Daphnia pulex: one gene and its partner. The protein of the gene in region 2 interacts with the protein of the main gene of each other region in a biochemical or structural test. Links are inferred from orthologs where the notes say so. Each region holds a gene or a part of one and is shown on either strand. Other genes may lie near its edges. The genes, in order: complexin-like and synaptosomal-associated protein 25-like.

Region 1 (15,987 bases), on a different chromosome or scaffold from region 2:
CGCGGAAATCCACCAAGAAAATCTTCCAATTAAACAATTGATGTGATGGGGGGAGGGCTATAATCGTCTACTTGTATAGATATTATTAATATGGGAAATGTGTGATCTATTCTGCTGGCGATCAGCAGTGTGGGCTATATATTCATGATCGATCAGAATAAAAAAAGGGATAGGCCTACACAGCAGAGCGCGAAATTCAATTAGAAATTAAGATTTATATTTATTATATATACAGGCTACACGTCGTGAACTTTCTTACATAATATATATCCTCGATATATATATACGAGACTTTCTTTTTAATTGATATGGATGAGCTAGTTGTTAATGGAACTATAACGTGCCGGCTGCCCACCTCACGCATCTCATCGGCACTCTGTCAATTAGCCGCGAAAAAAGAAAAAGTTTCGTATGGGACGCGCTTGCTGCAGTGATCATCAGCGGCAGAACTTTTTCTTTTTTATTCCTTTTTCATTTAAATGTAACAACTCCCGCGTGAATAGTTCCAGCAGCCGCCCTGTATCTCTTCTACAGCAGCTCATTTTATAAATTTTAAATTATATTTAAAAAGGAATCAACGATATTTATCCTCCTTAATTTATGTAATAATAATTGAATCATTAATAAGAAGCGACATGGTTTGATTTGTTGAAATTATATTGAAACCCAAGACAGAGAGAGAGAGTTAGAGAGAGAGAATGGGGACAACAATGAAAAGAATAATAATAATGTCAAGATTATAAAGATAAGAGAGAGAGAGAGAGGAGAATGGAAAGATAATAATAATAATAATGACGATAAATGCGATGACACTATACAATAAAGGCTACGTCGGATCGTTGGATTTTTCAGAAAAAATTTTGTCATCCCATCTTTTCTTCTCATCTTCTTTTCGAAATATATATATAAAACTCGGGCAAATATTGATGGAACACGTGCGCGACAAATGCGCACGTTACATCATCATATAAATAGCGCGCGAAATATATACATGAATTCAAAAGAAAACGATCTCTACAATGGAATGATTAATTTTTTTGTTTTTTTTTGTTTGTTTTAAATATATATAATAACAGCAGGCGCGGTGTAAAACACACACAGACACACACAATTACACAGCACACACATGACTAGTTTTTTTGTTGTTATATATTTTCGAATTGGTTTGTTTGTGAGGGAGAGGGGGGTTGTTTGTTTGTTGTTGAGATGGGGTTATAATATATATCAAATGATAGAGAGCCTATTAAATGATAATTGCTGTATACATAATAATATAATACTTGGGCCTATATAATAAACTCTCTCTCTCTTCTTTCTTTCTCCTTTTTTGATAATAATAATAATAATATGATGGGGGGAGGGGGGCGGGGGCCAACAGAGAAGAATCTACAAACGAGAGTGTAATATATCGCGAACAAAACAACAGTGTGTGGAATATTTTTTTTGTTTTTTTTTTCATCTTATTTCTTTTTTTGAAATATTATTATCATATATGTTTACTCTCACAGCGGGCATCCAGAGCAGCAGCAGCAGAGCACATATACAACCAACAACAACCAACAACAACAACGAGGATATATATAATATAAAAAATTACATGGAACGGAATTCAAAACTTAACTAATTCATTTTTCTTTTAATTAAAAAAAATTATTTTTTTTGTGGGTTTTAATTGTTTTTTTTCTCACTCGAGATGGAATACTTTTTGGGGGAATGGGAAATTTTTGGGAATTTTTTTTTTCACGTGTGTATAAAAAGAAATTTTTTTGGTTGGTATATTGAATTAAAAAAAAAAATTTTTTTAATTTTTTGTTTGACGCCCCAAAATTGTTTTGGTTTTATTTTTGTTTGCCCTTTTTATTTTTAATGTTTTTGCATAGTTTAGCTCGTCGTTGCTTCGCTGGAGGAATCGCCTACCCACCCAAATTCAATTGTAAAAAAATGACACACCTTTGGAATATAATCTGCTGTAGTATCTTGTGTGTGTCGATTAAAATATTTTTGGATATAAGAGTTATCCCTCGTCTCTGCTATAGATGAAGTTCGATATTTTGTTTGTTTTTTTGGGTGGGATGGAAATTATTTTTTGTTATTTCTTTGGGGCTGATTGGGGGGCATCAATTTCCCATCATTTGAATGTTTTATATCATAAGAGGAGGAAGTTACATGTGGTGTGTGTAGAGTCGGTGGGGCTTTTTATTCCTCACTGAATGACGCACTTGCTCTCGATCTGCGACTTCCACTCGTTCACCTGGGTCTCCAACGTGTTTTTCAATTCTACGAAAAATTTAGATTTTCATCAATCGATAAATTATTTTATAATTAAAAATTAAAATTAAATTCATTTATAATAAATAAAAAAAGAGTTCAATGTATTATTTATTAAATATTATACTTGTCAATTCGTCCTGGTCGGCTTCTTCGGCTTCTTTGGCCAATTCCTCGGGCGTCTTCTTCTTGCGCATCAGCGGATTGTCCGGCTCCTTTTGAGTCTCGGCTTCAGGAGCTTCTTCCTTTTTCTTGATATTGTACTGCCCAACAATGTAACAATAATAATAGAATATAATCGAATCACATTTCGATATAATATATAAGGCATTTTAAAAGACTGGCGCTATATTATTATATAGGTCCAGCAGTATAGCCAATTATAACCGAGCGAATAGAGTGCTGCTGCTGGCCTGCGGGTAAAACGCCATCGGCAATAATCAATCGCCTGCGGTCAAACATCTAAACAACTCTCTAAAAGACGTTCCAGACGGCTAATAGTTGTAAACAATAAAACAAAGAAGGGAAAAAATAAAACACAATTCACGTCGAGACACGCATTGATCCCCCAGCAGCACCATCACAGTCATGGCCGACTACATACTACTCATCGATCCAGCAGCAGCAGCAGCAACAGCCAGCGTTATATTTTATATGTCTATACAATCATCAACCAATAAGAAAAATAAAAGTCTTTTTATTTTTTCCTTATATCTGGCCGCGGCTGTGCTGAAACAAAAGTTTATATACAAGGACATCCCAATTGAACTGAAGACGATTTAGCCTGCTGCTGCTGCTTATATGCTGTGGGAACTCCCCCATTGTATTATGTGAGCTGGGAGGGCTATTGCACAGTGATAAATCGATTGAACACAAGCGACGACCGAGGAATTATCGATCCCCCTCGTCTCGCTGCTGGGCAGCAGCAATATATATGGGCGGTGCCCGGCTTTCTGGCTGGTTTACACGGCATTTATACACAGAAGAAAGTTGTGTGTGTGTGTGGGAAAAATATGGATTCTTTCTTAACTTTTGCTTGTCATCTCCTTCTCTAGCACCCTCTACATAGCCCCAAAATGGATTATATGATATTTTGGTTAAGTTTAAGTAGGCTATATCTAGGGCAATGCACAGCACACAGCAGGATATAATAGAAGCACTTTATGGAGGCTGCTGCTGCTGTGTGTGTTCTTTTTTATTGGAACATTTCGAGCCTTTTGTTTTCTTTGCTGTCCAAATCCTTATATATATATATACTATATACACATTGTGTTTAACGAACCAAAATGTATTTATTTAACTGTATTATATACATTTATCTGCTCCTACTGTATATATATATATCTAAGCGGCGATCGATATTATATAGCTCTGCTGCTGCTGCCCAGTTTTATCTATCCCAAGATATATAGTATATATGTGCTGTTCTCTCTCTCTCCCCTTCGCTCGTGTGTGCTATATATCTCAGCTGCAACGGACCGGAACGCTCTTCTTCCGCGTCTCGTTTCCAGCTAAAGCAGCAGAGATATATATCTCTTTTGCTGGCCATTTTCTTTTTCTTTCTGTGGCTATCTAGCTCTCCTTGTTTATATTCCCTTTTTTGGCTTTATAGCTGCTGTCCAGCTTCTTCTTCTTCTTCTGCCAGCAGAAAAAGAAGGGTGGGGGGATTTAAGTTGAAATCATCTTGGAACTCTGCCACCAGTCTCACAGAGTGACACACAAAAGAGCAGCAGCAGCTCGTCTGATGGAATTAAAAATTTGATAGTCATATATAAGACCCCCAGCCAGCTATAGCCGACTATAGCATACATAAGCAAGAAATTCCTAGACTATGTGTGTGTGTGGAGATGTCGAAAAGTTTCTATTCTTTATAGGACGCGCTGCTGCTGCTGTCATCTCCCCTTGATCCCCCCCACACAACATCACAAGGATTTTCAAAGGGATTTCTTTTTTTCTTATTATTATTCCCAGACGAAGAAGAAGAGTCGACGACGACGACGACGACTTTTCTGTGTATAAAAAGTGATTTGCACCCCACGAGATCAAAGCTTTTCTTTGCTGCTATAGGGGTGGGGGGATGACGACTTTTATATTATCGCAGACTTTTATATATTTGGCTGTGGGCTCTGCTGCTGCTGTTGTCGCTTAGACATTTGAAACTTTCCTTTTTTTTTCACGTTAGTGACTTTGGAGATTTGTCCTGGTGGCTTCTCGCAATGTGCAGCAGCAGCAAGCAAGGCTTTTGATATACATGTATAATGGTGGCCGCGAAAAGAAACAATAGCTCTTGAAGTATATGTGTACTATATCTATTTCTCTATTGTATCGTTTGCTGATGCCAAATGAACTAATGGGTCTTTGCCTATTATGTCTCAAAAGTTTTGATTTGAACTGTGCTGGACAATGGACACAAAACCATGACATATTATATATATACTGGTGCTTTGGGGATTTATAGATCCTTTTCATACATGTGCTGTCTGTAGGCTATGTAAATTGATCGGAATGGAATTTTTGGATTTAATCCCGGCCGCATTTAATACATAATATTATCCTATATATATCTGAAATGATCGATATAGGACACACACATCAGCAAGAAACTTTTTTGTTTCTGTGTCACGCCACAGCACCGAACAAAACTTGTGTCTCAGATCAAAATCTAAAAACGATGCACATGTTCACGTCACGCTCTATTCTCGTCAGTCTACACACAATCTAGCTATATAAATATTTATTTACTATTTTATATTAGATATATATAAATATTCTAATATAACTTTTTCTTTTCCTTTTCTTTCTGTACATCAGAGAGACATCAGGGCGATACTATTTATTTTGTGTATAGATTTAAATAAATGTTTGCACGCGTTTGGCTCTGCTGCACTGCGCTGTTGTACATATTACATAATAATAAATATAGGCCCTCTAACTGCGTCCCTTTTGATGTGATAAAATATAGTGTGATATTGTTGAGAGATATATTTACCTTGTCGCGGATATCCTGTCTCATGTTCTCACGTTCCACTTCCATTTTGCGGTGCTTCTCCTTGCGGCGATCCTCGGCTTCCTTGATGGCCTCCAATCGCTCACGCTCGGCCTCGTCGTCCTTGTCTTTGGTGTCGCCGTCCTCGCTGTCGTTGCCTCCCAGACCTTATCATCATAATAGTAGTAAATGCATGAAATTGCATATAGATGACCGATCAACTTTGATAAATAAGTTATATACATCATCGGATATATAGGCTTTATACATCATAGTATATAAGAAATATATGTAGACCTATTTATAGGTTAAGGAGATGTATAACATCGTGATGTGTTATATTGAGAACAAAGTTTAAAATAAAACGTAGAGCCATTTTGATATGGCTGCAGGCATTTCCTGCCTGTAGGCTATCACGTTTTATGTTGTTAAATGTTGTTTTCCATGTTGAACGTTTCTTGTGAATAGAAATAAATCACGACTATAATATGCGTAATAGATAAATAGGCCTACACAGTTTATATAGGAAAATAGTAATAACTATAATGATTAATATATTTATAAATACCTTTAACGGCGTTCATTTTGCTGCCCAGCATTTGTTTCGCAACGAAAGCCGCCATGATGATTGGTATTTATATTGAATCAACTGAGCAGTGGGAGATTCAGGCAGCAGCACAGCACACAACCAACGACGTCGATCCTCCTTGTATTTATATATCCAATCAAAGACTCCTGTGTGTACACAAAATAAGAATAAGAGAAAATGATTGCATAAACAATAGATCAATTCAATCAGACATAGCAGCAGCCATTTTATTTACACGCGCATAACTCAATCTCAGTCTCTAAATAACTCTAAAGTGGATGCATATAATATTACACACGTCTACTGGGATACACAAAAACGTGCTAAAAAAAGAAAATCGAATATTTAGATATTTAATATTGGCCTTATATAATAAATAATATCTAGAAATGCAGCAGCATTCCTTATGATTTGATTAGCGCCGTGTCTCTCATCTCTTATAATACAGCTCGTATTATATAAAGAAGCTGTCAAAAAAAGAAAAGGAAAAAGGGGGTAGGCAGCCCAGCACAGACATTTCCTGCTTGTGTTCCGGCTCCTGCTGAGGATTGAGGCAGCCCAGCAGCAGCACCGAAAGAATCAATACCGCCGTATACCAGAGCTGTATATATATATATCAAGCATATTATATATAGCACATCCGGCTTATATCTATTCCTTTAAAGTTTCTAGATTTTCTACCTTTTAACTTCTAACTTTGATAAGGATATTAAGGAGCCACATATCGCGTGATCAACTGTTAGGATATTACACACTCAAGTCTATAGGATATAGTATTATAGGCTATACACATATAATACAGCAGCATCAGTGTAGCAATTGAACGGGAATCGTTGAGAAAAAACGAACATTGCGTGATTCTCCTTTTCTCCATGTTATATAGATGATCAAGGACACGGGGGAGACTTTGTACATAGTATACCGCGTGCTATGTATAACATTGATCGTCTCGTATATATGTAGAACTGCTATATAGCTGCTGTAGCTGCTGGTGGGAATATATAAGATACGTGAGAGATCCAGAGTTCGTGTGCACGCGCTCAGCAGCAGCCGAGAGAGTCGCTCCCTCCGGCCATATATATCGTGATATATAGTACATTTAAGGTTTAGACTAACTACATTTCAAATGTTATATAGGGGCCAACACTTTGTCGGTTGAGAAGCAATATCGATCCTTTGTAGGCCCTATATATATGATGGGAAAATTGTCCAGCTATTATTACATTGTCAATAGATTGATCATCAGGCCGCTGCTGTCCAGCAGCTTTCATGACCATCAGACTGCTGGTCTAACAACATTAATATAATTGATGATATTCTTATTTGTATTATATTAGAGTCTGCTGGAAATGTCGCCGTGCTCCATCACATGCTTCTTTCTAAATAATATCTATTGATGTCTAAACTAATTGGATTAGATGCCATCAGTGCAGACATCACGCATCTCCAGCCAAAGAGAACCATGCAGCACCGTGCTGGGGGGCATTGTGTATTATACACTAATATAGACGTACCTATAAGTTAGACTATACATATATAAGTTCATTCTATATATAGTCTAGGCCGGCGCAGGTCAAGTTCCGACACGCTCTCCGCTGTATAGTGCACGTTGCACTTGCATTATAGAACCGAGCTCAATATGAACTGTATAGACTTTCGTATATTGAATTAGTGGTGAGAGAGAGACGCCGTTAAAGTGCACTGTCTTATTTCTCTTTCACATCAGCAAAAGAACCCAAAAATAACTCTAGGTCATCAGCACATAGCAGCATAAAGACAAAATGCCAAACTTGCCGCATTCTGTCTACCGGCAAATTTACATACAAAAATAAACAGCTAAACAGCATCTTTTCGAGTATTATTACGATTCTTATTATTATGACATTTCCGGTTCTTTTTTTAAAATGCCGATTGGTTCACACTTGCGACATCTACCGGCGCACTTTCAACACTATTTCCACTTCCGGTTTCTACATCTAGACACGTATAAATAACATCAAAATGATGAGTTTCTTAGCGTTGATTGTCTTACCTTTTTTAGTTGGGTTGATTCGAATCAAAAGGAATTCCACAGGAGCCAATAATGTTTGGATTGGTCGCACGCACTGAAGGAAGGATGAGGGGCGGGAGGAGGAAGAAGATATAGGAAGGAAAAGAAGAAGAAAGGAATATGGAAAAAACTAAATCAATCAAAAAAAGAGGACAGAAAAAAACGAGAGAGAAAAGAGAAAGTTACAATCGAGAAAAACAAAAAGACCAGGAAACGCGCGGATATATAAAATGACGTGTGACGAATATTCTAAGTAAAGTAGGAGAGAATCTGAGCTCTCAACCGACCATCAGCACTACACACAGCACATTATACACAGCAGCAGCAGCAGCAATAGTATCTATATAGCACATGTGCTATATAATACAAATCAAATCTTTTTGCCCCATCCAACATTGAAACTTATTAATCGTCCCCCAACAATAAGAAACTGGAATATTGGCAGTGAATCGACATGTAGGAAAAATTGTCTTAAAATTGACTCTTAAAAATTTGGTTTGAGAAAACTATGACAGCACACAGCACACACTAGATATATATGCTGGATCTATAAACAATCGATTGGCAAATTCCTTCAGCCAGCAGCAGAGATATCTGGAATGTTGTGTCTAATAACGAATAGAATTCAACAAAATGTGATGTTTGAATTAAGAACGATAGAAAACTACTACCGAAATTGCAGAGAGAAAGAGAAAAAGAGAGAGAGAGATGTGTGTGTACTATTGAGAAACTGATGACGGGGGGGGGGGAATTCGATTTATTTGTCTAATAGAATAAGAAAAAACGGGGCGGATATACAAGTCGATGGCTCGAGATCCGAAACTGCACTGGAGATAACCCACAACGAGGACCAGACTTTTGGCTATGGCAATTTCTCTGTGCTGCCCCCTGTGTGTGTCTATCAAGTCCTATATCTCTCTCTCAAATCACCCAGTGGGTGGTGGGGGGTTTGATATAGAAAAATCCTTCGCCACCACCCACCAACATTTTTTTTATTTTATTTTTTCGTGAAAAATAAAAAAAAGAAACTTGGGGGGGCCAGCACAGCAGTTTGACTCTCTAACGCTATGATGGGTGGGTGGTTTTGGATGGGGGGTTGTTATGGGAGGATGCGCGCCTGATATTTTCACGAGCGCCGGCGCCGCCGCTCACGAATATATTTCCTGTGCGCTGTGACGTATATACAGCAGCAGCAGCATATATAAAGGGATCCCCGGACTCTCAAATATTGATCTGCCCTTGCTGTGCTGTCCTCATATGCACATCACATGCTGCTGCTGCTGCTGCTGTGCAGGAAACAGCGCCACCGCCAACGTGTTTCCTATATAGATTTCAACACCATTTCTATAGATATACAGCATGTTGTACATTTATTTGATATACCCTTATGTTATTATTATTTTCCTACTCTTTTTGAATGTAATCAAATGCTGCTGGGAGAGCCGAGACCGCATATAGGTCCTACTCACGATATTATTATTCGCTTCGACACCCCTATGTAGCATATTTTCTTTTATATTATTATAGGCCTACAATATACAAATGACATTCATTTGATTCGATATAAAGATGAGTTCGATTCACATCATTTTGTTTTTTTAACTTTTAGATAGGCCTATGATAATATTCGAGACATTTGAGATGATGTCAATTATATTTTATTTTGGGGATCGTATGTTGTGTGCTACGTCTATTATATCAGCTGATTGGTGTCACGTTCTCCTCTTTTTTTTTGGGGTCCAAACAGAAAAGGATATACGTGTGGATATACTATCCTACATTTGAATATATAACGCACACAGACAGCGGTGTTGTGTGTAAAAACGAGTGACATCTGGTGCCATTTGAAAATTATTCCAGCTGCTGCTGTGTCTTATTTCTACACGAAAGAAAAGAAAAACGAAAAACATCTTTTACATGTAATGTCTAAATATAAAACTGATGCGACCGAATTCAAATGGAGGGGCGTTATTATATATAGGCTTAAATTTTTATATAATAATATTCTTTTTCTGCCTTCTTTTTCTCTATATGCTTCATCGATCAGTCCTGCTGGTACATATAAAGGGCGCATCAATTTATTTTGAATATTTCCAAATTTCTTGTGCTGTGCAATTTGTTTCGGTGATCGATAGAAATGCAATCTCGATAAAAAAAAAAGAATCAAATGTTGAAAAATGTATACAAGACATTTTTCTATTTCTTTTATAATATCCAATCTGTTATCTAATAATAGGCCTACATAAAAAAAAATCCCTTTGATCGTTTTATCTTGACCTTATAAGACGTAAAAATGGCAATAAAAAAAAATGTTATTCTTGAGTGCTATTTCATCACATTTACACGAAATATTATATAGATGTGACAACAGCCCCCGCGATGATAGAAGACGCCGGTGGCCATCCACCCCCATTTCAATCGTGTCAAAATGTCACGTTGCAAATCAAAAGCGAGGGCGACAGCAAGAGCAGCATCATTTCCTTTTCCATCAAACCCAGCACAAATGTACTATACATACATGTATAAAGGCAAACGCATATATAAAAGAACCGCAGTAGTATAACATACTGTATACCCCCAGCAGCTGAAATATAAGTCTAATAAACATGATGGAATTGGATCAAAAATATATAAGCCTTTAACACAAATGCCTACAAATGCATCCGACAGTTGCCTATAACATGACCATCAGCAGCTTAACATTTATTTCTGAAAGAGAAAACAAACTTCTGCGCTATGTATGTCCCACCGACCATCATTACAATACAATAGTCTATCGTCTATATAATATAGGCAGCTGAAATCATCATCTGATCATCATGCAACACAGCAGGCAGTCCTGTGGCGCTATATTAAAGCACTCACCGTCCTGTGTCCTATTTACCGTCTCTTTCATCCTAGAACATCACAGCATAAAGAACCTGATAATTCGCATTACAAAAGCTCGCGTTGAATTATAGTACGCTGTATAATAATAATATAGTTCTGGACATCGAATTATGATTGCCATGGATTCGCCTTTTTCTAACAGCGGACGATGGCAGCAGCAATTGGATTAAATGTTTAATAAATGACCCATAGCATAGACCGTATAGATAACAAGTTCAAACATTTTCGAATGTGAAAGTTGAAGAAAAAGTGATGAGGTGCAAAAACATGCCTGTTCTGAAGTCGTTCGACAAATGAGAATTTTAGTAGAAACCCTCACTGGGAAAAACACAAAAAACGGGGAGAGAAAACAGTTGCAGTCAACCGCCTAACTCATCAGAAATAAACTCCGTCTCAGAAATACTCCGTGACTACGTAACGATTTATAATCAACGCCACCCAAAATTGTCCAAAAGGAAGAATGGAGATCAATTTTGTCCTACCTTTATGCCTGGGAAATACAGCCAGGCATCCACAGTTGCTGCCGCTGAAGAGTTGAATTACACCAGCAGACGGGATAGGGTAAAAAGGGTGTCCTCGTGAATACATCCATATTCACATGGGCGTACACGAGGACATTTAAAGAAAGGTGAAGAAGGGAGATCCATAACTCGGCCGACATCGGTAGTTTCTCCAATCAAGAGGGATGCTGTTTATCTGTGTAAAAATAGAAAATGGATTACGACAAAATATTGACAGAAAAACGACAAGGAAAAGTTGAAAATGAGACACTGGGTAAACCCTAATTGTTGATAAATGGGAGAATGAAAGGTTTACACTGCATTTATGCAGGTAATGCAGCATTATAATATCTATAGTAGGTCACAGGTCAATAAAAGTAATGAAAATCATTACCCAAGCGATGAGACTTCTGGTGACATGCTGCTCAATCCCAGCACAAGCCAAACTTGCATATTGAGTGGTTATGACGGCTGACTCTGGCCTCGAATCTGAAAAAAATAAAAAGGTTTTTTAGTACAAACAAACTGCAATGCATCGTAAGGGCAATCACATGGTAAATGCTAGTCGTTAGGAAGTAACATTTCACAAATTTAGAACAGGTCTCTTCTGTAGCTCCCACAATCATTCTAGAATTTGTATTTTTAGTTTTATTTACCTGCTAAAGAGTATGACGGTTATCATCAAAACAAATAAATCTATAACAACATAAAATTTTGAACTTTTTTGCTGACTTCTTCGAAATTTTAACCCAGCGAGAGCAGACGACACTTGTCGAAAATTGTTCTAATCAGCATGCTTACGAAATAAGTTATCGATAGAAATTAGAAATGAAAAAAAATCAAACCCCCCCCCCCCCTCAAAATTAATTAATTAAGATAAATAAATTATTAAAAAATAAATTATTGAAATAAATGAATCCAAACCACTCAAAAGCGGTACAGGAATAAGTTGAAGGAATAAGTTTTAGTTGAAATCTAATACCATTTGTTTTATTGGTATACATATAATTGTTCAACAAATTAACCAATTTGATTAAGCCCACCCTGGACGGACAAGGTCCAAATAAAAATTTGCACAAAACCCGCAAATGGTCTGAAAACCCGCCCTAATAACATCCCCCAGTACCCTCTTGGAAGCCAAGAGGGAATGAAAGATATTAAGTTCATAGTATACATATACAATGAGCAAGCGAGCCTAATCATGGACAATTTGTGTGACTTAATTGAACTTGTATATAATTTCAAAGTTCTGTTTTGTCGTAGCATACATTTATGATCATTTATTAGCTATGTACTGATCGAGGATTATAGGGCTTATCAACTAACTATATTATATTATATGCTATTTCTTTGATGTATGTGCTGCTGCTGCGCGCTGTGATATAGCCAGCAACAGCATCAATTTGTAATTTGGTGCTGCTGGGCAGCAGCACATTGGACTTTTATATTAACGGGATTCCAGCAAAGGATTTTCTTATTAACAATCAAGGTCACCAACAGCAGCAGGATGCACTATGCAATGTTAACAAGCAACTCCTGATGATGAATAGCCAACTGATTACGATGATGATGGCTTCCATTTTCTAATCACATAAATATAACATTACTTTTGATAGCAATAATGTGTCAACTAATTGTTGGAACCTTTGAAAGAAATCAACTGTTAGATATAGGACTTTAGAAAGCGCAAAACAAAGTATTTTTCTGTTACAATCAAACTAGTTCTCCGGCCAATTTTCTCTTCATCAGGTTTTGCAGGTTTTGCGCTACGTGTGTCTAAACCAAGTTCCACTTCCCGACACATCATTTTGTGTTTAGTTTGATCTGTGACTAGCGTTTGAATAACATGTTGGACGTTTCGTGGTCTAAATGGATGAGTCCAACATCCCTATAGCCATGACGGCCCTAGCCGGATTGATAGGCGGATATTATTGGGTGTGGAGTCGTTCCCGCTTTGTCCGTCTCATTGACGCTCTACCCGGACCGAATCCACTTCCTTTGCTGGGCAACCTCCTCCACCTATTGAAATTCTCTCCCGATGGTAAGTAATACAACTTGCTGCGCTGATGGTACCGCGTTATTTCCGCTGTCCAATTCGAAATGACGCCATCAGTGTCGGTTTCCAATTGTTTCCCTTATGCTGTATAGAAATGTTGCTGGGCATGAACCACCGTCATCCAATTTACAAGATGTGGATCAGCCGTTTCTTTCCAGTGGTTTTCATCGCTCATCCTGAGCTATGCAAAGTATATAACATCACACATTAAATGTTAATTCGATACGTTTCAAGTATTATCATCTCACCGATTGGCTCTTCCTGTGATTCAATTATTAGCCAATTTTATCCAGCAATAAATATGTGACGAGGCCACGGGAATACCTCTTTGCTTTTTCCGAAAACAGCCTTCCCATCTTAACGGGTATAATGAGATTTAACGGCGAAAGCCGTTTTTACTGTATTATGCTTTATTATCTCACCTCTCCATAATGTGTTATATTATTGGCTTAATATTCCCGTTATTGAAATTATATCCGCGCGCAGGCAAGCCGTGGAAAAAGCGCCGTCGCATGCTCAACCCGGCGTTCCACTTGCAAAATCTCAACGGGTTCGTGGATATTTTCAACGACTTGAGCCTCGACTGCGTTGCGAAAATCGAACTAATAATTCTCGGGACGGCATCATCATCATCAGGCTGCCAAGAAATTGACGTCCATCCGATTATGTCTCTGCTGGTGTTGAATCTATCAATTTCACAACGATTTCACTTGCGCATATATGTACATATTCGAAATCTTTTCTAAAATTTATCATATAGGGGACTATACCTTGCCAAAGGATTTAACAGTTTTGGTAAACATTTACGGCACCCATCGCAATCCTGAATTTTTCCCCGATCCGGATTCTTTCAAACCGGAACGATTCCTACCGGAGAACAGCGTCGATCGACATCCGTATGTCTTCATTCCATTTAGCGCTGGCGTCCGTAATTGCATCGGTGAGTTTCAAACAACTTGCTGCTGGCGGGAGATTTGAATTTCGTTCAATTCGAATTTCTTTTTCTTTTATGAATTGAACAGCGCCGAAATACGCCATGATGAAAATGAAAGTTGCTCTGGCCAACATATTGCGCAGGTTGAAATTTTCTCTTTCTGATCCATCGGGTCCACTGCAAACTCCGGCCATTCATGCCATGCTGAAACCCAAGGGCGGCAAATTCAATCTCATTGTTTCTAAAAGATTGGGCCTTTCTTAAATAATGGCATTATATTTGCATATTTAGTATATTTAGATTTTTCGCCACTTTTGAGTTATAGAAGGAAAACACAATTCCTATAAAATGGCAACGCTGGTTCATTGTAACATTTCAACTTTGGCAACGCAAATAAACCTTATATTGTTTGGTCAAATTATTTGTTAGGACAACAGTTTTTCTAACCGGTTCGTCTTGCTGATTCTTATAACCTATTTATTTATTCCTATTTATGTGCAAAAACCCCCAAAAAGGTCAGTGAAACGACAGCATTTGCCACTAGTTCTATATGCCATGAAACGCCAAAATCGGCCAACCAACCCTTATTGTGAAAACTGTGAAATCAAGACAAGAATTTCTTTCTCCTTTACAGTTACTATCTAGATTCGTTTTCTCTTTAGACTTTGTTCGTTGTTGATTCAGTTTTGGGTTTATGGACGACATTGCTGGCGTAGCTATCAGTTGGTCTTCAACTTTTGTTTGAATAACATGTGGGACATTTCGTGGTCTGCTGGATGGAGTTCATCGTCACTGGCCATGACGACGGCCCTGGCCGGATTGCTGGGTGGTTATTATTGGGTGTGGAGTCGTTCCCGCTTTGTCCGTCTCATTGACGAACTGCCCGGACCGAAACCACTTCCTTTGCTGGGCAACATCCTCCACCTTGCGAATTTTTCTCTCGATGGTATAAAAACGGTCGTTGTGAACATTAATAAATTCCAAAACGATGAATGAATTCACATTGAGATTTTTTTTCAGATGTGAAGTACGAGCCTATTTACCGGATTTGGATCAGTTACTATCCGGCCGTTTTCATGGCTCACTCTGAACTATTCGAAGTAATAAGCGGTTATTTGTTTATTCAGCACAGTTATTATTTAGCAGCTATTTCCGTTATACTGACAGTCATTTGTTTCCCCCCGAATGTAGCCCATTTTATCGAACCCTAAACTGATTAGTAGGCCACACGAATATGAATATCTCTTTCACGGTGAAAGCCTTGTCCTCTTTACAGGTATTCATTTGATTTCAGTTAGCTTTCATTTAGCTTTATTTGATTATTTAATTCGGGTTCACCACCACTCACAGATGACGCGTGGCGAAAACGTCGTCGCATGCTGAATCCCGCGTTCAGTTTTCAAATTCTCAACGGGTTCATTGGCACTTTCAACGACTTGAGCCTCGACTGCGCTACCAAATTGGAAGAAATGGTCGAAACCGTCCAAGACCAAGAAATGGACTTGTTTCCAATCATGTCTAAACTGGCTTTAGATATTCTCTCTGGTAATGAGTGAAACCCTTTAGATTATAGTATAAGCGCAATGAGATTAATTTTCTATCAATTTTATTTTGACTTTAAAAGAAACTTCCATGGGACGGAAAACGTGGAGCGAAGAGGAAACGATCAACTACATCCAGGGCCTTGAAGGGTAAGTTATCATTTTTATCTCCCT
Region 2 (16,122 bases):
GGGCTGGAAGTTGGCCCCGAGTTCCGTCCTGGCCGAGTTCCGCAGCAGCAGCCCAGCCCAGTCCAGCAGCAGCCAGTTTCCTGCGGTCGGAAAAGAAAAAGAAAAACCTACGGAATATACATCAACGCCATTCTTCAGAATAACGAGACACCTAAAGCAACAGTGGCTCACAGCGTCGGCATCTGAATCTTCCGAAAAGGCGAAAAGCAAGTCAAAACGAACATTTAAGGGTCATTTGAGATCCTCCTAACACATTTGAATATTATACACGTCAAGGTCGGTAGGGGTTTGGCTATTTAGCGGTTTTGCCATCAGCCAAGCAGCCATAGCGCTTACGACGTAATAATAAAGAAACGGGCTCTCTCCACGATATCGGAGGCTGCTAGCAGAGTGCTAGCTGCTCGCTCGGCTCGGCCTTTGTCAGGTGGCAACTATATAATATCCGCCACATCGGCAGTGTTCTACTGCGCACTCTGGTGGGCTATATTTAGTTTCCCAATAACTCAGAAAGAAAGCTTGTCCACTATAGAAATGATTCGGAAATTAATGAACGATAACGCCTAATGCTGTTGGATCACAGTTTCCTTGTACGCTTCGACATATGATTCGTTCATCGTTATTGCCGGAGAGACTAACATCAGGAACGTGATGTGTGAGCGATCATAAGCAGCGCACAAACACGCTGTGTGACTAGTAGGAAATATTTCCAGCGGGACGATAGTCGTCAAACAGAGAATCAAAAGCGGCAGCTGATGATGGTCTCAACAGACGCCAGTGAAGGCAGCTGACGCGTAATTGATACGGTGACGAAATAATATCTAAACATTCATGGGAATAAATGAAAGGGGTAGGCACGGTCGACATTTCTTTGCTTGCAGCGATCAATCCGTGGTATATAAGGTCTAAATGTGTATTGTAACCAGTAAAATACAAACAGCGTGGAGGAATACCATTACCGTCACTCATATCTTGAAGTAATATCTCAAGAGAAAGAACAAACATTACGATATTGAAGTGTGGATAGAATGGTTGCCAAATGGTAGAGAGGGTATGGCGAGGGGAGTAAGAATAGAGCGATAATATGATTTTGTCGGTTTTGTAGTGGCTAAAAGATATTCTAGATGAACTATAGTCAACATCTAGACACAAGTATAAATGGATATAAATGAGACACGCAATTCAAAAAAACAGACTATAGGAAAAAGAGACTATATATGTATGAAGAGATGAAAACAGCCGACCAGAAATCTCAGCGATAGCAAGACCACATCCAACTGGATGAAACTTCCCATTGTTCTTCTTTGTTTTGTTTTGGTTTTTTTTTTAATAATTTTTATTCGGTTCTTATTTTTTTTTATTTACCACATAACGATTCCCAAATTTCGATGTAATGAATAACGAACGCAATGCAGACGACTCAACGTAAAGTCATTCACGTGTAACTTATTACTTCTTTTTTTCAATTATCACAACGAACAAAATAAAACGAAACTCCTCAAACGCCAACTCAGACCCCGCCCCCTCTCTCGCTTTGCACACATAGGATTTTGCAATTTTGCGTTCACTGACTTTTTTTTTTTTTTTTGCAAAGTTATTACGACTATCGGACCCACTTTTCCCCTGCCAATCATGGACACGGCAGCAAATTGTGATGGACCAGACTTGTTATTTTTCTTCTTCTTCTTTCTATGCATTTCGAAGGATTGTGCGTCCAACCAGAGAGCGAGTTTCAGGGGATGGCGCAAAGTAAATGCAATTCCGGTATAAAATCAAAAGGAGAGAATAAATCAAAAAGGAAGTGAATGCAAGAAAAATCGAGTTCCCTACAGTCGCATTCCATTGTTGAAAATGTTGAAAAAATAGGAAGGTATAAAGCGATGGACGCACTTGTGAACCAAAGAAATCCAAAGTCAAATGTATCAAGTCAAACGGACTTTTGGATCCATTGAATCGGTTGGAGGAGAAGCGAACGAGTACGAGAAGAATAAGAAAGAAAAACCCAAAGTAATAACGAGAAAGGGGGGAGAGAAAAAAAAAAAATTAACCACAGCAAAAAAGAAGCATCTGTTGTACAGCCACAAGAAAATACAAAAGCACAGGAACATGAACTGTACATGTTAAAAAAAAAAAAGAGAAATGAGATAACTTAAATGGCAGACACCATATGGAGAAAAAACGAAATACGAAACCGCTACGACGGGGTTCACAAGTGAAGAGTTGCTTTTCTTTTTTAGAGGGGAAGGAAAGGGAAAGGGGTGGGGGTGGGTGGGTGAATTATTGTGATGATTTTTGATTTCTGAAAAATTCGTGGTCGGAAGCGTTATTGCAGCAATGTGGACAAAAAATTCGAGAAGAAATCGAGAGCTAGAGAACGGGAGTAGTAAAGAAGTTGTCAAGCACGCAACTTAAGTTTTGTCGCCGAAACGACATGCACGAATAAAAGAAAGAAAAAAATTGTGACATTTTTTGAAAAAGTGAAACAAACACAGTCGAATATCCTTCAGTCTTAATCCACATTTTTCCTTCCTGCACCGACAGACAGATAAAGACGGTTTTCTGTTTGGTTTTGTTTTTTTGTTTCTTCCATTTTTTTGTTTGGTTTTTTTTTTTTTAAAGTTTATTTTGCCAATCCATTCAATTTCATTTAGGCCTTCTTTAGTAATTGTCCAGCGCGCTGGTTGGCGACACCTATCCTGTTCTCGTTAGATTCACCCTGTAAATGAGAAGAAGAAAGAGAATATTAACAATCAATAGTAATTACGTCTATTGCCGCTCTAACAACTGCAGCTCTAAAATGGTTTCATTTTTCTGGCGGAAACGCGATTATTAGGCAATAAATGGCTAAGGACATGTCTAAATAGTCAGATATTCTGACAGAGAGCGTTTCAAAAGCGCGACGAATAATACGCAAAAACCCAACCACACCCTCCCTCCCCTCACCAGGAAAAAATGAATCAACCATAAAATCAAACAGCAAAGCCGACAACGAAATGAGGAAAACAACAAAAAGGCAGGGATAAAAATGTCAAATGTGCTTATTGTCCGTACTGCACATATTCATCTCGTCAATTGGAGCTTATTTCAGCAATTTGTCAGCAAGCTGGCTTGCTTCCGTGACGTGAGTGACGTTTGAATTTCCCTGTACAAAAACGTTTTCCACACAAATCACCAACATTTCAATAATTCAATAATCAAAAGATCATCCACCACGGTAGACACTGAACGAGTCCCACACGACAGCACGTGCATGGCGCATCACAATTAGCCTAATTACCTTGGCGTTGATTCGATCCAATTGCCTGTTCTGGTTCTCAATTTCTGAGCCCATGTCGATGGCCATGTTGCGCAAATTGCCGATCATCGTGCTCACTTGGGTCATATTCTCTTCCATTTCACCTTCTCGGGCGTCCTTGCTGATCCTGTTAAAGAGAGAAAACGAAATCGCACAATGTAACAAGACGACGACAATTCTATTCGCAATCGCCGTCGAAGCCACTCGAGTGGCGGACTTTGAGGCGTGTGGGTCGACGCGTCTTACTTGGCAATGTAACCGCCTGCTGGACCGACTCCGTTGCGGTCATCCATAACTCTGGTTGGCTGGTTGTTGACTATTTTGCCATCGTCGTTGCCTTTCCACGTTCCTTCGTCTTCCTTGAATTGCGACGATCTGAGAAAAGATGGAATAAATAAATAACAATCATCGATATTTTTAAATTCAACAAGTTTTCGTCCTGATTATTAGAGAAATCAGTTCCTGCTCAAACGGCTCGCTTCACTTGAAAATGAAAAATGAGAGGAAAGAAAACAAACAAACAAGGTACTCACTTGTTGCAGGGTAGGACGCAGAGTCCGCAACATTTCTCCATGCCCGCTAGATTACTCTCGGCTTCTTTCATGTCGGCATTGATTTGGTCCATGCCCTCTTCAATGCGATCCAGTTGCTCTGTATTTATTTATTAAGACATCTTGAATTACCATCGAATCAATAACATGTGTCTATATCAACGATTGGGACCGGCCTCATATCAAGAAACATGAAGCAAGATCGTGAACGAAAAAGGAAATAAAAATGAATAAAGATGACTATGAACAAAAAATCATTGAGAGCAAAGATTGTCGAATGGCACTGGCAGTTGTGCTGTAATTATGAATCAGACGAGGTGCTAGGTAACAAAGTGGAGAATCTCTCGGAGCGGTTAAGACTGATATAGGCAAGAAACGACAAGCTCCATAAGTGATCCGAGAGTTCAAATTACAGCAAGCAAATTACAGATGAAATCACCAATTAGCAAGTTTCCAGCATTGAGGATCACCGAGATTTCAAGTTGCTCAAAGCAATTCAAATGCAACACGAGAAACTGAAAATAAAAACAAGTCTTACCGCCTTGTCCGTGCAAATTCTCAAGAGTCTTGGCACCAACATCTTGGCTCTACAGTAAAACAAAATAAGAAAATAAAAAAAAACTCAAAAAACTAGAAAAGTGAAACCGAAAAATACAAGCAAAACCCAAATAACGAGCTCAACGAAAACGATAGTGAAACTCTATGGAAAAAAAAGGAAAATAATATCAACACAAATATACTAAACAATTTTGGAGAAAAAAATAAATTAAAAAGACAGCTGCTTATTCTAGTGAGTATAGTGTAAATAAACTACGCGATGTTGAAGGAAAGAGCGGGAAATTTAAAATTGGCACCCAATCAGGCATTGCGTTTTTTAAATTAAGCCAAAAATGATCCAAAAATACAACCTTTTTAAAAATGATAAAGAAACAAAAATATCGAAGATAATCTTTAAATAATTTCAAGTTGATTGTTTCACCACATCCTGGCTTTTGTTTGAATAATCAAGTACTGAAGTTGTTTTGATTAATTTTCTGGATTGGACACCTCGTCTCGGAGATTTTCTTTTAAACTTCATTCCAACAAAATAGAAGCATCCCGGATGATAAAATGGAACTATTACTAACAGTCCCATCTGCTAGCGTCTAACAATTTAATAGGATTTCCTCTACATCCATACGAAAAAAATAAGAGAGATCAGCAAATCAGAATCAATTCTTTCATGCACGAAGAGACTCTTTCAAGCGATTAATGTACAGCTAAACAACAGTTCAAAAAAAAAAAAAAAAGAACTGGCGTTGTTTGAAAGCGACGGCTAATAAATCACGACCAAATCGGTATATGAAAAGTGATAAGGAGGCAGTATTGACATTTAGACGACAATAAAGAATGTTGTTGAAACCAATAAATATTGTGTTTGTTGCACATCAATGTACCTCCTTGGTCATCCAACGCCACAAGTGTCCGAATGCCGGCCTCTTTGCTCTATAAAAAAAACAACAAAAAACAATGGCGACACGTACCGTTGATAGAAGATCGCCACCAAAGTTCAGAAAGAAAAAAAAAACACACGGATTCTAGACAATAAGAAAACCCAACATCGCCCAAGACCTCCTACGTGTCTGACATAGTGTCGCCTGTTGCTGTGCAAATTAGTGCACACTGATTGACTTATAAAGTTATAACTAGCGAGTCGGATGGGCGTATATTGGATTAAAATTAGAAACCAGAGTTTGCGTATTCAATGGCGACTGAGCTTTTGTTATTCGTAAATTATGAGAATAGTTCCAAGTCCAATGTTTTAGCTCGATGCGGAGGATGTTTGCGTTACGTGAATACCAAACCACTACAACGCACAGGCACAATACGAGTTGTGAAAATCAATAAGAGCGCAGCGCTGTGCGAAAAAAACGACGATTACAATCCCGCACATCACTCTGCTTGGTTTACCCTGTGAACTTTAGCTTAGCTAAGAAGGAATTACTCATCTTGGGTTGAAAACTTTATATTTTCTTCTAGCGAAGAAAACACTAGACTTACCACACCCATCCATTCGCACATGTCTCATATAAACTCGTGTGCGACGCAAATATATTAAGTCAATAACTTCGGTCTTACCTCTTCGCAGAGCAGCATCATCCGGCGAGTACTCTCCAATGACTTGAAAAAGATTAAGAAAAAGAAAATTTAATTAAACTGATCTTGTATACAGTACACTGTGTGACCTACTAAAAATGAAAAAAATAAAATAAATGAAAAATAAAGAAAATATAAAAGGCAGACGATAGTTTCACTTTCCACAGATTAAATAGGAATCAAGCCATTTATTTATTCGAGTGCACTGTAATTGAATTTTTGCCGGGAAACATTTGAGCTAGAAAACTTGATCTGGCAGGCGAATTGGGGTCAACAGGAAAAGGTCAGAGCGATATTTCGAAATAATTCAAGAGAAGAAGCTGAGGAATCGAATAATCATTCCACCAGCTTCCAGACCAGAATATTTATATGCACATACTTCATTCTGACGTGACTAAGGATAGCTCGAAATAACCAAATAATGCTGTTTTAAAAAGAAAAAAAAAAACGAAAATGGAGATCTGAAGGAATCGGACAATGACCCCACGGTTGCTGCTCGGCTGTTGACTGCATGAAAGTCGCCCGAAAATTCAAGCGACGATTAAGAAAATATGAAAGAACGTCGGTGAGAAACGTGGGCGTCGTCGGTTGTGTACCGTGTAGGAAACGACGGTACATTCATGAATATAGATTAATAAAGGAGAAGGGCGTCGGCCTCGAGAGTAGGCCAACAGCCCAAGACCAGATTAGGAGTCTTTACGTGCAGCGAAAACAAGATGATGATGGGAGGTAGGAGAAGACCGGCTCGGCGTCATTTCGCGTTTTAGGTACAGACAATAAGACCCGACAAGGGAGAGAGAGAAAAAAAACGTGTTAAAGCAACCGCAGAATGAATTTCACGTGTTCCCAGAGAGAGAAAGAGAGAGAGTGGATTGCTTTTAGTATCCTGGCAACGCCAGTTCATTGAAGTCTGAGGGGTTGCCGGGCAAGACTATTTTTTTTTTTCTTCTTTTCTTTCTGACAATGACGAAACAGACCGCGGGAAGCCAACAAGCCTCAGCGACGGCGACATTCTGACGTGCTTGCCCATGCGCATCTTTCGTCTCGCGCCGTTATCGTCGCTACACCGGCGCCTTTGATGATCGGCACAAGGTTATTCCGGCCGTCCGGCCGAGTCACAACAAGACCAAGAAGAAGAAGAAGAAGAAGAAAGAAGAAGGTGTTCTAAAAATGGAAAAGGGGCAGCAACCTGGCAAATGACGCTAAGAGGCGGGTTTTCGACACACAAACTCGTCCACAGCTGCATGTTTCTCTATCTGTTCGGCATCTTTTCTGCAGCGAATGGGCACAGCTGATGATTAGCACGACGCTAAATATGTCTCTCTGTAACTGCCCCCCTATCCAGTTGCCTCGGTGGCGTTTATCCATCTCTCTTTCAGTTCCGTGCTCAAGTATCCGCTGAAAGCATTGAAAGCCTTTCTCGGACCTTTTGAATAAAAAACGCCTAACACGGACTGATGGATTGTCTGTCACCTTATGACACCAACCGACGTGTAAGTAGAGACTATGTGACACATCGACTTGAATCTCGCTATTGCGCACGAAGAATGTCCTGCCATTTCTTACTCTGTATCAAACTATGATATTTATTGTTGTATTCGTTTTTTTGGGTGAGGAGCGGGTCGTATACATGATATATTCACCTCTACGGTAACATCTTCGATATCTTGTTGGAGTTGATTGGCAAACTGGCGAACTGGAGGGTTGGCCGGTGGGTTCTTGCCCGAGTTGGGTCCAGTAGCAGCCGCCGTCGAAGAGCCTTTACTCTTGTTACCTGGCGCCGTTTCGATCCCCATGATTGCACAATGGTTGGACGTGAACACAACGCAATAAACAGCAGCAGCAGCAGCACACACACACACACACACACGCTCAAGTTCTCCGACGACGATACGATTATCTCGTCTCTTTGCCTCCCAATAGCTTTGGCGACGGCTTACTTGTTTGTTTCTCCCCACCACGATAGAATGTCGGCGGTTGGGTTACCTCCTGGAGTTCAAGTAGTTGGTTGTTGGTTGTATCTATTTCAGTGAACGAGTTGCATGGTGGAAGGTGCATGACGGCAGTCAGCTAACATACCGATACCAGTGACGTAGTCGGCGGAGTCATCGTTTCCCATGGTAACGCGATCCATACCTACGGGCGGCGGCGACGACAGGCACCTCTAGACGACCATTTGTAAAAAGGCCTGGGAAATTGGTAGTCACACGGGATTTCCGATCTTTGCCTTTGGCGTCGATTTGGCACAAATCGTCGTCAGTTGTGCATTCCGATTGGGGAAATTCAGACTTAAGGCTCCGCCACTTCTCGACACTCCTCACGAGCTTGCTATCTTTCTCTTACTTTCGGAAAATCTTCCTTTTCCTGTCGGACGACGGAGAAGAAAACGCCGAGCCGCGCAACGAACGGATATGAAAAAGAGAGAGAGAAAGAAAGAAAAAAGTACTGGGAATCGAAATAAGGGCAGGAAACGTCCGTTGTAGTGAAACGGTGACGTCCGGCACGCGACCAAACTATCAACTTGGGGAAAATGTCGGAGCACTCGTGCAGTCCAGTTTGACTTGTAGTTTCTTATTCGGCGCGGAGGATAGCCATCATAAATATCGACAGACGAGTGCGACACGCACAGATAGGACGGCGGTCGGGACTCTCTCTCTCTCTCTCTCTCCGATGATCGAGAGATAAAAGAAGCGCACACGTCAGATGAATGTTGGAAGAAAGAAACGAAAGAAAGGCCAAGGAACGGGCACTTGGGCGACGCTAATTACATCAACAAAACCACTGGAGAAAGGGGGGGGGGGAGAGTTGGAAGTAACGTCAGCCAACGCGCGCAATCCCTGTGGGCAGATTTGACGAACTCCAGGGTTATCCGACTTCCAGGTAGTTCGGCGTTTCTCCACTTCCACAATGCTTTCACCAGTTCAAATAGACTGAAAAAGGCACGACAACGATCTCTTCCGGCAAACAAACAACCACTCAAGAAATGCAATAGGATATGATGAGAGTAAATGATGTGCAATTGGAAGATTCGATTTCAAATGTTCGGATGAGGGTGTGCGACGCCGTTACGTCGTCTATTGGCTCTCGGCTGGAATTAGAAGCCAACCGGGACGATGGAGTTTCACGATTGATCTAGGTGCTGGTGGTGGATTTGTCGGAAGCTCCGGTTGCTGCCCTTGGGAAGGAGGTCCGACGGCAAAAAAGGACCGGTTACAATCACCCCAAAAAAGGAGACGGGAAGAAATGGAGAGATGTGGAGATTGGTCGAGCACAGCCACCAGCGATCGTTCAACAGCGTCGCCGAAAATAAGTTGCCACCTGATCGAAGACTGAGACGCAGCAGAAAGAGACTAATGAAGAAGACATTGGGGCCGTTGTTGACTGTGGGTGTAGAGGAGGAGAAGAAGAAGAAGAAGTGACAGAGCACGTACGTCACGGTCGTCGAAAAAATACGTGACAATCGAGCGAGTCCGTCAATGAGCGAGTTTACAAGGAGAGGGGGAGAGCAACTTTTCTCGCCACTTTCACTTTCTGTTTTGCTTACTGTTTTTCACGATCGATACGTTGACACAGACAGCGTTGAAAACAAACAAAAAGAGGGTCAGACGTTACTCGGCTGGATGGCGGGCAATCGAAATCTCGGGTCGTCGGCGGTTCCAAGGAAAAAACGCAGGTGTCACGACACAAATTTCGGCTTTACAGATGAGACAACTGGGAGGTCGAGACGGAGACTCGGGTGAGAAAAACGAAACAGCACCGCTTTTGGTCAGCTCAGAGTGCTTTCTGCCAGTGGGGAGTGGGGGAGAAAAAAAAAAGAAAAACCCGGGATGAGCGGATCGATCGGGACGGCGGAAACAGGCTGCTCTGTAACGGCGCACCTGTCCGATGACACCGCTAGTCCGTTTCCGTCGCCCTTTGCAGACGAATAATTCGCACACACGCCAAAAGTGTTCCGCTCCGTGTGACTTTCTCTTCCTTCAAATTGTTCTCGACGAGGCTCTTCCTCTCCGGCCGGCTGGGCGAGTGCGGGCGGGAATGAGGTCCGGGCTAAACTAATTGACGCGATTGTGAAGATGCTGAATGAAAGATGCCGGAAATGCGGTCCCGTCTCCCGGAAGCGGACCAACAGCAACTCGCAACGGCTCGGTCGATCTGTCGAGATGCAATGGAAAACGCAGAGCTGAGCAGAGCTGAGCAGAGCTGAGCAGAGCTGGGTGTTCGTCAAGTAAAGCGGCGCGGTTGCATCAAGTTGAGCCCGTTCACGCGCACAACAATGACGTGAGGACCAAGTAGAAGCGGTAAGCGACTGGGAGGCGAAAACGGCCCGCTCGGGCAGGCACAAGACTTTGATGATCAAAAACGCTGGGGCAGCGCCGCACACAAAGCGCCCGCGCGCATCCGGTTTGACGCAGTTATCGAATTTCGAACTACGGTCTCGTGCGCTCAGTCTGTTAGATTCTCAAACATCCCCAAGTACCAACAACGAATTAGTTCCACCTTTACGCAGCAGCAGCGACATTTCCACATTGGCTGGCCCAGTTTTATGAATACCAAAATAAAAAAAATAAAAAAAGGGCATTTCGCAACATTTTTCGCCCTGCCTTCAGACATCAAAACATACAGCCCATCAAACTAGACTCCATTCTTGGCTTGACTCACTCCAATAAATGGATTTGATTTGCTGACATTGGCAATATATATACCGTTACGGCCAGCCTTTATTCAGTACTTTTCCGTCAATATTTGCGAGTTAACCTATTCCAGCAGCAACTGGGCATGGCGTTGACTTGTCGACATCAACAGACCTGACATATCAGGCACACACTCGCCTCTCGGATGTCGGAGACACGAGTGCTATCCGATGTCAAACGGCAATCGTTAAGAACTAGACGTACGAAAACTTGGCTGGCTGAAAGTGAAACGATCGTCTGCCCTCATCTAGAGAATGGAGTTGACAGGCTTACCTCATCGGTGACTTGGTTTGATTTCATCTGCAATTCCTGCAATTCCGTCTTGGGAGCACCACCATTTTCCACTGCGGCCGCCATCTTCGCTTCCTTTTTGAGTTAGTCACCTGTAACGAGAAGCGAGAAATTCGTACGTTAAATAGTAGAATAATAAGAGATGACGTAAAACGGGAATTCGACTATAGTTATGATGCTCTCAACATAATCACTGCGACACTGAGACACACTTCAACTCTGTCGCATCAAAGCAAGTGGTCTACCATATCCCCCCCCCCCCCCAATCCTGCTCTTCTTTCTCAGACAAAAAAATGGGCGATTTGATTAATCCATCGAGCTCCAGTCTGCGTCCGCAGGCTCTCGGTTCGATCGGGTCGGAAATAACCAACGATGAAACAGTGAGCTGACATGGTGACATTCGCTTGTGGCCGACGACAAATGCTACAAGAGTTGATCAGGTCAAAAGGGAACTTGATCTTATGTCTTCCTTGTATCTTCAATACAATTACCGCATTTCTTACATCTATGTTATTGCCAGGTTATGGCTATTTCAGCCACACAGATCCAACAGTAGAGATTCTAATGGACTTGTAGACAGGCAGGTTTCTTTATCGCTACGGGATGGTCAAATGTTATGGGTCAGCAACATGTTAAGATGGACCCACCATTACTCGCCGCTTCCTATTGGTGACAGACCGAGACGTTGGGAACAATAAGAGACGGACGGAGCGGAAAAGAAAAATCAAAACAAGAAAATGTGGCGCTACAAAAGGCCACCTAGCGATAACAATAAGCATCGGGTTGAAAAATCCATGTACGGCAGCATGGCGCCGTTATAGATCAATACTGCAAGCACAGGTTACTTCCTACTTTCGCAAGTATGTTTTGCTACGTATTTGTGTTACAAATGTGCACGGCGTCGATAGAAAAGACATTCGGTGGCTCACACCATCTAGCGACAAGAGTTGTCACTAATGTCGGCACACACTACAGGGAAAGAAGAAAGAAAAAGTGAAACCCCAAAATCCCAACAACTAAGTGATTTTTGTTGCGAGTTGGCTCGATCTCCACTTTAGTAACGGGTGATGCGCGAACGGGAGGACAGCCACGGTTGGTTCACGCGGGAGAGTGAAGAGGGAGGAGGGGGTCGGTGTGGGCAATGGGGGCTGCTGCTACTATTGATTTTCAGTGATCCCGTTTGGTTCATCCTTCTTTGGCATCGGGTGGCGTCTACATGAAGGTCGTCCGCATCTATCCCGAACCCAGTCTCCACCCACTGCGGTCTCTCTCTCTCTCACTCTCTCTCTCTGTCGTTGTCTTGTGGCCCAACACACGCACAGTCAGACAACATTCGATTCAGTTTCGGCGGTTCTACGGTCCCGACCCGGCACAACAACGCAGTCTAGTGGCTGACTAGCCAAACGTTACGACTGGCGACGACGAGCAGGGACACCCGTACCACCGATAAGCTTTGCTGGACCGGATCCATCTGATCAAGAACCGTGACGACGACAATCGAAATAAATCCACCATCGAGACGGAAGAATGAGACAATCTAACATCAAAAGAACAAGTAAAACGGAGCACAGCAGAGTCAAAGAACCCCGGCAAACGAGAATTTTTCGCTGGTTAATTTTTGAAGGGGTTCTGCCCATCCGTACAACAAACCACTGCTCTCTAGACAGACAGTGTCATTATCCAGCATTTTAACTCGTGATACCTTCCAGCTCCAGCTCGCAAGCTGGCCAACTCTCTCCTTACAACAATTGTTCAAAAGTAAATTGGAGGAACAAAACGTACTTGGTAATTGCTTCCCGGAGTAAAACAAGTTCAATAGGGGGAAAAAAAAAACTTTTCGAAGAACCGCTATCGGCACTATGTGTAGTCTCTCATCCGGTGAGCGACACGCGTCACTAGTGGTGTAATCTCTGCCTCGCATACAACAACGCCAATTTTCAAAGGGAAAAAGAAGAAAAAAAAGGGGCAGAGGCGGGACCAACGTCATCATCTCATAGAATAGGTTCTTCTTTAAAATTTGCCTATTGACAGGCAAAGTCGTTTTAAGTCTTTTGACTGACACACCCGTCTACCTCTAGGCGGCTTCCGAGGTAATCGGGTTTTGTTAACTTATACACACAAAAAAAATCTATATTATTATATTTTTGAAATCTCATTTGCGTTTCTGGCCGTCGTCTCTTTTTTCGGAAGAGTTGGGTTCGCACGCAAACGATAATTTTAATCACGCAGATGTGCTAGGCCGTGGGAGGCAAGTACTGAAACCCATGACGATCGAGTTATGCATGAACCAAAAAAAAGAAAAAAAAAACAAGAAAAGATTGCAAAAGAAAAAAAGAATGGCGTCAGCTGGAAGGAGGAGCAGCCGCCCGAAAGCCGGGTAGTGTACAATCTGGATCAATAGAAAAAAGCCCAGCCTTCTCCCTTCTCCTTCTCTCTGTTATTGCTTTACGCTATTCGTTTGCAGTAGGTCCAACGAATGGATGATCCAGATCAACCCACTTCTCTTACTCAGAGAAAACAAAAGTAAACTGTCATTAAAAATTCAAGAGACGACCTAGTCAAACAAAAAGGTACAAGGCACATTGCGTGAGGGGTTTTACTTGTGCATGTGACGCCGATAACCTCCAAAGTATCACACAACGTTACTCATCGATCTTTCAGCACCGTTATCCTTTTAGAAAACTAAAAAACAAATAATGCTAGAATCAAAGACGATCCGTGAAGCTCGAGAATGGATGGCCTGAAAGTTAAACACTAACCATCATCGACGAGATGTGTTGAAGAAGTTGATTATTAGTCTTCAAAGATTGCAAAGTGCACTCGTCTTTTTTTTAAGAGTTAGAACTTGATAAACAGATGTCTGACTTGTCAATATGGTACGAATGAGATAATGTCAACATTAGGAATCAGTGTTGAGCGAGATATAAATACTTTGAGGGACGGTGAAGAGCGTCAACGCGTCGGACAATAGAATGGACAAACAATCGGTCAAACTTCAGAAATGGTTTTAGTATTGATGGAAATAGGGTTTAGAGTTTTAGTGGCTGCAAGAAGTTAAAGCAAAGAAACTTGACTTGGCGTCACCACTCAATGGTAAACCGTCGAACAAACAACTCCCCCCAACCACACACACACACACACACAAATAAACAAGTATTTTCAGATGCAAACAACCCAAAACACTTCCTTTACGCGGAAATGATATACTTAAGTAGTTAAGCCTACCATTACGAAAGAGATTTCAACTTTAAATTTGTTTTCAAAAGCCTGTCATTTCCCTCATCACCTATTTCGAAAGATAAAAAATCGAACAAAAAAAAAATCGCGGCAAACACTATGGTGGAACAAGATAATAAGCGTAGGCTTTTTTTAGAATTCCCACCACATTTTACACTTCATAAATAAACCCTTTACGACTAAAACAAGATTTCAGTTAATCAGCAATGAACATCCCACCTGGAATATTAAGCATTGGACTGACACATCTCTCCACAATATGCAGATAAATGGGAAACAAAATTTCGTCATTTTCGATCCAAAATGTAGCAGACATACTGCTAAGGAACTGTCAATTCAGCCATTTATAAACTGAAACATGCTTCGTAGCTATCATATCGCTTTGGCTTTCCATAGGCTGCTGGGATTTCATCTGGAGGGGGGGGGGGGTCTCCTGGCAACCAATTAACTCTAGAAAGGTTTTTTTTTTTACTCTTTTTGAAAGAAACGAAAACGTAATCTGGTGAAAAAATTCTTTCTAATATGATGGGATATTTCGGTCCTTGTTTAGTTGCTTGATCGGTCACCACTGACGCGGCAGTCTGTAGAAAAGTCCCTAGAGGATTTATCTCACTGATCGACGCTTCCCTCAACGCAGATGTGATCCATCTTACAACGACCAGCGTTCATTCCCATTCCTATTCTCTCGCTTGCTTTACGGAAGCCTGTCCTTGCCATCCCCTTTCCTGGCGACGCTGGAACAGGTCCAATATGTCCGGCAAAATCTCCTGCCGTGGAGCGATTTAACTTTTTCAGCGCCTTTATATTGTACAATCAATTGAAAGAAATTATTTTGTAACAAACTAGAATTTAAAACATAATCTTGGGTTTTCCTAAAAATGGGTCTCCCTGAATCGTGAAATTCATTAAAAGCTCTACGAACTCACGTCTCACAAAAAGAATGAGTTCGATCATCAGAATAATGGAACTGTGCAAAATCTTGTTATCCGCGCACATGCATGAATAAACATTTAATCTATTTGGTATCACCATGAATAGACTACATGATTCATTTGTAAGAAGTAAACACAATCCTGTGTGTTATCCAAACAAAATAATGATGTGGACAAGAAATAATAGTAAATCATGTTTTTCATGATCGTAGTAAAATAATCCTGCATATGTGAGGTTTTTAATATAGGTAGAAACACGAATGTTAATGATACATTTTGATGAAAAGGATGTATCCATTTTTCTCTTTGGTGATCTAAAAAAATGCTGAAAGTTCTGTGGTAATGTTTGCAACTGGTTTTCCTTATGATAACAAAACGTGATTAAGTAAACTGTGTGTTTTTTTCAAAATGTTTTTGAAGAATAGAAAATTATTTGTTTGCAGTTCGACACCCAAACACTTATCCTGTGATACAAGATATGTTTTATAAGTGAAAATTGAATACTGCGATATCTGTATGAATTTAAATGACAGTACTATTGGTGTCCTTTTTCCCAACAAAAACTGTATAATCTTCAAGTAAAGCTCATACAAAGAGAGGCAGACTGCAGTGCTGGCTCACTCTTACTGTAACTACATAACTTTCTCACAAAATACTCCAAATATTGGTAATGTGCAAATTGAAATCTTACCTGTGTTCTGAGTCAAATGTATAAAGAATAACTTCCCGGTTGATCGGTTATCTCACAACTAAATATGACAGCTCGAAGTAACAACGTCCGACCAGTACGTCACCGCCCAAGCAGACGTAATAGTGAAGCGCCATGAAGGAGTAGCTAAGGAGTGTTAAAAATATTGATTAATACATTTTTAGATTAATCGATATGCAATGATATCGATGCTTAGTATTTAAGTTTCATTTGTGACAAATTTAAATACAGTATAATCTGTACAGTTGAATTAACAGATTAAGCACCTTTCATTGCTTCGGTA

The links.
Region 1: the proteins of synaptosomal-associated protein 25-like (region 2) and complexin-like are reported together in a solved structure, tested with the Homo sapiens proteins (2 studies listed by BioGRID, with this or other methods). The link is inferred for Daphnia pulex from reciprocal best matches to the Homo sapiens genes SNAP25 and CPLX1.

Annotation. Positions count from the first base shown.
Region 1 is NC_060023.1:9,961,990-9,977,976, forward strand, and holds complexin-like, read right to left. Parts: upstream 8,722-15,987; 5' UTR 8,565-8,721; exon of another isoform or gene 8,024-8,564; 5' UTR 7,876-8,023; intron 5,992-7,875; exon of another isoform or gene 5,990-5,991; 5' UTR 5,878-5,989; coding exon 5,823-5,877; intron 5,422-5,822; coding exon 5,258-5,421; intron 2,532-5,257; coding exon 2,396-2,531; intron 2,278-2,395; coding exon 2,204-2,277; 3' UTR 640-2,203; downstream 1-639. Other genes in the region: cytochrome P450 4c3-like, read left to right, coding at 13,152-13,323, 13,431-13,528, 13,618-13,702, 13,825-14,084; cytochrome P450 4c3-like, read left to right, coding at 15,023-15,218, 15,293-15,372, 15,464-15,548, 15,623-15,817, 15,897-15,963. UniProt on the Homo sapiens protein: Positively regulates a late step in exocytosis of various cytoplasmic vesicles, such as synaptic vesicles and other secretory vesicles.
Region 2 is NC_060020.1:8,646,252-8,662,373, reverse strand, and holds synaptosomal-associated protein 25-like, read right to left. Parts: upstream 9,791-16,122; 5' UTR 7,776-9,790; coding exon 7,623-7,775; intron 6,004-7,622; coding exon 5,962-6,003; intron 5,329-5,961; coding exon 5,280-5,328; intron 4,431-5,279; coding exon of another isoform or gene 4,382-4,430; intron 3,944-4,381; coding exon 3,826-3,943; intron 3,668-3,825; coding exon 3,539-3,667; intron 3,420-3,538; coding exon 3,275-3,419; intron 3,140-3,274; coding exon of another isoform or gene 3,077-3,139; exon of another isoform or gene 2,714-3,076; coding exon 2,645-2,713; 3' UTR 897-2,644; downstream 1-896.